Linked DNA regions of Saccharomyces cerevisiae S288C. Changing the gene in region 2 together with the main gene of any one other region gives a genetic interaction. Each region holds a gene or a part of one and is shown on either strand. Other genes may lie near its edges.

Region 1 (4,481 bases), on a different chromosome or scaffold from region 2:
CGCCAAGATTTGGTCACATGCAGGCATCAATAAGTAATTCCAACAACAATGTATCCAATGAAAATACCACAACAAGTGCGAAAGGAAGAAGGTCGATAAGCCCATATCGCCAAGGTAATGGGGATCACAAAATAGATGATTTGGTTGGTTCACCAGGAAGTACGGACTATTTAGAGGATGATGCAATTCCACCTGTAACAAACCCAAGGTCTACAGATAGTCTCTCTTCCAAACATTGTAGCACAGCAACACACATTTGCTCATCTGTTAATACCATTCTGATCTTTGGAGGGTATAGTCAGACTGGTGACGACAAGTATGAAGCTATGAATGACATGTGGAAGATAAATATCCCTGTAGTTTCTCGTGGGAAACGTAATTATTATAAATTTGCAGATACTGTAACTGCTACTAAGATCCCTATTATTGATGATCCAGAATTATGGCCGAGCAGAAGAGCCTTTTCAGCGTGCTGTGTACCAGATTATTTTACCAAGGATGTTGAACCCATAGAAACGAGATTACTGAGGAACTTGAAAAATGACTTCTCCATCGATTTGGAAATACGCCCAGGAAATAAGCCTTCTCAACCACTTTTTCCGAATATCCCACATTCAAGGAAGGAGAAGAAGAGTGGTCGCGATAGTATGCATATTTCCAATTCTAATAATAGTACTAGTGAAGACACTTCTTCAAAGTCTACCAGGAATACCACATCCAGTCCTCCCACAAGCCCTAAACATACACCACCATTGAATCCATCAAAAAAATGTGCATCAATCGGAAGAACTATTGCGTTCCACGGAGGTTCAGATGGCTATGACGTTTGCAGCGATATGTGGTGGTTTGACTTCGATTCCGAAACCTGGACTAAAATAGACCTTTATGCCAAAACACAAGAGGAATCTGATGGTTTGGTACCTATCAACTTATGTATGGTAGGACACTCAATGACAACTGTAGGCCACAAGGTTGTGCTTATCGGGGGTCTACGACAAGGTGATGTTGACCGAATATACCGGGACGAAACTCTTCCTGAAGAAGTAATATCGGGTGTTCCACTCGGAAGTGGCGTTATAAATGTCGTGGATTTAAATACACAATGCCTTCAAGGTTGCAAGCTAATACGAAATGATGGAGATACTAAAGAATCTGTCATTATGGATCCTCATGTCGGCACACCCCACCAAGTATTGGCCGTCGCAGGTACTATAGAACTGGTCAAAGGAACCATGACCTTAATAGGAGGTGTAGTAGCCGGTCGCGAAGACATTTCGAGCCTTTACTTGAGAGGAGCTGTCTTACAATTCATTCTACCAAGCATGAATCTAGCCAACTAATTAATTCCGCGGGGCGGGGTTCGGATAATCCTTATGTGACAAGAGTGACTAAAGGAAAACGAGAAAATTTTTTCGTGGAACTTGAAAAAAAAAAAAAAAAAAAAAAAGAAAACAGAACAAGTGAAGAAGATAAAAAAAGGTTCTATATCGCACTATACAACAATAGTAGCGTTTCCCGTGTTCTTTTCCCGTCATTAAATATATTCAAAAGTTGTTGCACATTTGATTTTACAGAAGTAATATACACTGATTGTGCGTACGGTTAATTCGCAACTAAATTCAATCAGTACAAGAAAAATTTTTATTCCGTTCCATCATTATTGAAAGATAAACTATCACATTGCGATAATAAACTAAAAGACACTAGGATACTGCCTTCGGATATAAACATTTAAGTTTAATTTATTACTGTTTTTTTAAGGGTTTAACAGCAACATTTCAGTTTCTATAATACAAATAAAAAAAGGAAGACTAATATTGACCGAAAAAAAGTTATGTTAAGTCCTGAACGTAGACCATCCATGGCAGAACGCCGCCCATCATTTTTCAGTTTTACTCAAAATCCAAGTCCTCTAGTTGTCCCGCATTTAGCCGGTATTGAAGACCCTTTGCCAGCCACTACACCAGATAAAGTTGATGTTTTAATCGCAGGGACTGGTATGGTAGAGAGTGTATTGGCTGCTGCATTAGCTTGGCAAGGTTCCAATGTCCTTCATATTGATAAGAATGATTATTACGGTGACACTTCAGCCACACTAACTGTAGACCAAATCAAAAGATGGGTAAATGAAGTTAATGAAGGCTCAGTAAGTTGCTATAAAAATGCGAAGTTGTATGTATCCACGCTAATCGGTAGTGGTAAATATTCTTCAAGAGATTTCGGTATTGATCTTTCCCCGAAGATCCTATTTGCAAAATCTGATTTATTATCCATCTTAATCAAATCAAGAGTTCACCAGTATTTAGAATTCCAATCTTTATCTAATTTCCATACTTATGAAAATGATTGTTTCGAAAAACTAACAAATACAAAGCAAGAAATATTCACGGATCAAAACCTACCACTAATGACAAAGAGGAACTTAATGAAATTTATCAAATTCGTACTCAACTGGGAAGCACAAACGGAAATATGGCAACCCTACGCGGAGAGGACCATGTCTGATTTTTTAGGGGAAAAGTTTAAATTAGAAAAACCACAAGTCTTCGAATTAATCTTCTCAATTGGGTTATGTTATGATCTCAACGTAAAAGTACCAGAAGCTTTACAAAGGATTCGTCGATATCTAACTAGTTTCGATGTTTATGGACCATTCCCTGCACTATGCTCCAAGTATGGTGGGCCAGGAGAATTGTCGCAAGGGTTTTGTAGATCTGCCGCTGTAGGTGGCGCTACTTACAAACTCAATGAGAAATTGGTATCCTTCAACCCTACAACTAAAGTGGCCACATTCCAAGATGGATCCAAAGTTGAAGTTTCAGAGAAAGTGATAATATCGCCTACGCAAGCACCTAAAGACAGTAAGCATGTCCCTCAACAACAGTACCAGGTTCATCGTTTGACCTGTATAGTTGAAAACCCCTGTACTGAATGGTTCAATGAGGGTGAATCGGCCGCCATGGTAGTCTTCCCTCCTGGCTCTTTGAAATCTGGTAATAAGGAAGTAGTACAAGCCTTTATTCTCGGTGCTGGCAGCGAAATTTGTCCAGAAGGAACTATTGTATGGTATTTATCGACCACAGAACAAGGCCCACGTGCTGAAATGGACATTGATGCCGCTCTAGAAGCTATGGAAATGGCCCTGCTAAGGGAATCGTCTTCAGGTTTAGAGAACGACGAAGAAATTGTTCAACTAACGGGAAATGGTCATACAATAGTAAATTCAGTTAAGTTAGGCCAATCTTTTAAGGAGTATGTTCCTAGGGAAAGATTACAGTTCTTATTTAAACTTTATTATACCCAATACACATCCACGCCACCCTTTGGTGTAGTTAACTCCTCCTTCTTTGATGTAAATCAAGATTTGGAAAAAAAGTATATTCCCGGTGCGAGTGATAATGGCGTCATATATACAACCATGCCTTCTGCTGAGATATCGTATGATGAAGTAGTCACCGCAGCCAAAGTTTTATACGAAAAGATAGTTGGCAGTGATGATGACTTCTTCGATTTAGATTTTGAAGATGAGGATGAAATACAGGCTAGCGGCGTTGCTAATGCGGAACAATTTGAAAATGCCATAGACGATGACGACGATGTCAATATGGAAGGTTCCGGTGAATTTGTAGGTGAAATGGAGATATGACGAGCAAGACATATTCTATTTAGTATTTTTTTCCCTTCAGGAAACGGTGATTAATGTCTTCTTACAAGTTAATGAATAGTATATATATGTAAAAAAAAATTCTGCTTCATGTATATACGCACCTCGTTATTGAGGTATTGCGAATGTAGCAGTTGAATAAGCAAAGACGAGGTTTGTACATCTTGGCATATTAAATGGTTATTTCGGGGTTTGTTTCGGCTCAACGGTGATATAAAAAGAAATCCAGTACTGTTTACCATTGTGCATCCGTACATTTGATTTGTTTACAACATCTTCACATTTCCATTGTGGAATCATTTTATTTTTTTCAGAATACCTTACCCGCAAGCAAACTTTCAAGCAAACTTACAATTTGCAAAATTTCATCGAATTCTCCGCAGGACATATTATAAAAGTTATGTCATCTCTTATCACAACAGGTCTATAAGTGTTCCTTGTTCAATTGTTTTTCCCAATTCAAAACTCTTCACGGAGCAGTTTAATTATCTTACTGTCGAAGAAGTCAAAAACTAGACTATATATTATTGAGAAGAAAAATGTCTGACGTTGAAGAAGTCGTTGAAGTTCAAGAAGAAACTGTTGTTGAACAAACTGCCGAAGTTACTATCGAAGATGCTTTGAAGGTTGTTTTGAGAACCGCTTTGGTTCACGATGGTCTAGCTAGAGGTTTGAGAGAATCTACCAAGGCTTTAACCAGAGGTGAAGCTTTATTGGTTGTTTTGGTCAGCTCTGTTACTGAAGCTAACATTATCAAGTTGGTTGAAGGTTTGGCTAACGACCCAGAAAACAAGGTTCCATTGATCAAGGTTGCTGA
Region 2 (2,868 bases):
AAAGACCTTTTCATCCCTCTTTGATTGTGACCATACGACAGTGGCATCCCTCAAAGCGGACAGATCAGCATTGGCTATATATTGTTGGCCCAATTCATTCAGTTTCTTGACCAACTCCAGCCATCTATCCAGAATCTCTTCATTATTCGTGTTGTCTATGCTTCCCAATGATTTCAGTAGTATTCTATATGATATAATAGTTCTTGGAATATGGTACAAAGTATAGTTTTTATCGATAAAATCGATTATGCTGCGTTCGTGCCAGATAGATGCTCTAGTTAACATAACGTTAAAAAATGGTTCATCAATTTTTTTGACCCCACTGTAAAACGTTATGATTTCTTGAAGCTTACGGAAACCATTGATATTGTCATTAATATAGTTTTCGAAGAATATTGTGAAAAAAGTGTTGTTTAGTGAGGACAAAATTCCAGGATTAACAGTGTTACCATAAAATTTTACAGCCTTTTCCCATATTCTATAAACATGATCAAAATCGTTCTGTGCTTTCCATATATTCTGCAAAAAAGAGTTCACTGTAGAGACTTGTAAAATAATCTTGTATGGCATTTCATCGTTGATAATTTTGTCAAAGAAACTTTCTGCCAACGTTAAATTCTTGGAATCACCAATGAAGCTTAAGTGCGTTTCAATTAAATAACCGTAATTCCTCACTTCAGCCTTTTCACATAATTGGCCGAAGAGGGATAATGCCTTTTCGTAGTCTTCCGCCTTGATGAAGACTTTTATCAGTCCGCTGTAAAGATTGGGATGGATAAATTCTTTGGATTGAATAATTTGGTTATATAGCTCGTTAGGCTCAGTCAGAGAACGCGTTTTTGCATAAAGTAATGGCAGCATAAAACCAACCACTTTTGGTTCTTGGAATGCCTGTGAAGTAGTCTCGTCGGACAAATTCTTTGACGCTTCCCAAATTCGAATACAGTCATCGTCAAATGACAGCTCTTTAAATGAAGTCAATAGATGAGTAGCTCCATATCCGCTGACAGACACCTTGCCTATCAAAATGTCATCAGATATATCCTTTAATGAATTACATAGAAAGTTCATCATTTCCTTGTGAAAAGATTGCGAATCGTAGTCTGGCTTTCTACTTAATTTTACCAATTGGTCTCTCGTCGACCTCAGACCGTTATGCAGCAGATGAATCAAACGTGACACCCGGTACGCATTGAAATCAGGCGATTCTCTCAAAGAATAGTATAACTCCATTGCTCTGCCCATGGAGTCCCAAAACATGGCGAATGATGGATTTTTATTCAATTGGTTGTTTCCTATTCTTTTGTATGTATTTTGCAAAGGCGTGGTAGAGTACTTTAAAGCAGATGATACACACTCATCAAACGAAAGAAGCTCGTGGCGCCATGGAGAAGCTGGATCCACATTAAACACATTCTGTTCTGTTTTGCGCTGTTCTCGCCCATTCTTCTTGTCCAAAACGCCCTTAGGTACATTTTTATGAAATATCGGACTGGAGTGGTAAGTACGGTCGCTAAGAACTACGTTGGCAAGCTTACCTCTCAGCATTGCTATCGAACCGGAGTTAACAACGTTGCTTACGCTTATTTCCATAGTTTTTAACGATCTCACCGCATTTCTTCTAAGCATCATTGTCCCTTTTGCAGTATATGGACTCTCCGAATAGTGTAAGAAAATGACACTGAAACCTCACCTTCTTTTACTTATTGCTTAGACCCTCATTACAATGCCATACTGAATACATTTTTTCGAATCTTGTTCAGTCAGGAACCTCAACCATATATCATTACACACGAGTAGTAACAAAAGCATTTTGAAGTAAGATTTGAAACAAAATAATACTCAGAGTAGATCGACGTATAAGAGTTCCTTCCCCAGCGTATTCCGCCACCACCCATCGCACATACATAGAATAACAATGTCAGCCACCAGAGCCAATAAAGATATTTTCACACTATTCGACAAGAAGGGTCAAGGCGCCATTGCCAAGGATTCCTTGGGAGATTACCTGAGGGCAATTGGCTACAACCCCACCAACCAGCTCGTACAGGACATCATAAACGCGGATTCGAGCTTGAGAGACGCCTCTAGCTTGACGCTGGACCAGATTACAGGCCTAATTGAAGTCAACGAAAAGGAATTGGATGCAACTACCAAGGCAAAGACAGAAGACTTCGTCAAGGCATTCCAGGTCTTCGACAAGGAAAGTACAGGCAAGGTATCCGTTGGTGACTTAAGGTACATGCTAACTGGCTTGGGTGAAAAGTTAACCGACGCTGAAGTAGACGAGCTGTTGAAGGGTGTTGAAGTGGACAGCAACGGAGAAATTGACTACAAGAAGTTCATCGAAGATGTTTTGAGACAATGAGAGTGCGGAACTGCAAATTTAGACATTTATTACTATATAACAGAGTCCTATCGACATAAAAACGAAAAAAGCGCCATTATGCAATGAAAACTTGCCAGCGGTTTTTCATTTTTCATACTGGTAATTCAGAGAGCCAAGTCTTTCTTTATAATGCATAGCAATAAATAGTCATATATATATATATATATATATATATATGTACATATATATGAACATATATATGAACAAATAAATGATAATGGTATGTGATAGTCATTATTAACGATTAAGCGTTTTTCTTCAGTTTCTGAGGGATTCTAACCGCTTGGCGATTTTGCAAGAGATAAGAAAATTTTTCAGTCATATGGATAACCTAACACAGCGTGCGACGTATTTTACTTCAGGGCCCAATTGAATAAGAAAGTATAATATAGAGTTTCAAGAGTCAATGTCCGATCTCGTTACCAAGTTCGAATCGCTTATTATTTCAAAGTATCCAGTTTCTTTCACTAAAGAACAAT

Evidence for each region.
Region 1: of MLC1 (region 2) and MRS6, extra expression of one rescues a mutant of the other (dosage rescue), as found in Saccharomyces cerevisiae (one study listed by BioGRID).

Annotation. Positions count from the first base shown.
Region 1 is NC_001147.6:1,028,348-1,032,828, reverse strand, and holds MRS6 (GTPase-activating protein MRS6), read left to right. Parts: upstream 1-1,834; coding exon 1,835-3,646; downstream 3,647-4,481. Other genes in the region: GPB1 (Gpb1p), read left to right, coding at 1-1,340; 40S ribosomal protein eS12 RPS12, read left to right, coding at 4,204-4,481. UniProt on the Saccharomyces cerevisiae protein: Substrate-binding subunit (component A) of the Rab geranylgeranyltransferase (GGTase) complex. Binds unprenylated Rab proteins and presents the substrate peptide to the catalytic component B.
Region 2 is NC_001139.9:304,642-307,509, forward strand, and holds MLC1 (Mlc1p), read left to right. Parts: upstream 1-1,918; coding exon 1,919-2,368; downstream 2,369-2,868. Other genes in the region: RMD9 (Rmd9p), read right to left, coding at 1-1,632; ARC1 (Arc1p), read left to right, coding at 2,796-2,868. UniProt on the Saccharomyces cerevisiae protein: Essential light chain for the class II conventional myosin MYO1. Also acts as light chain for the class V unconventional myosin MYO2 and for IQG1.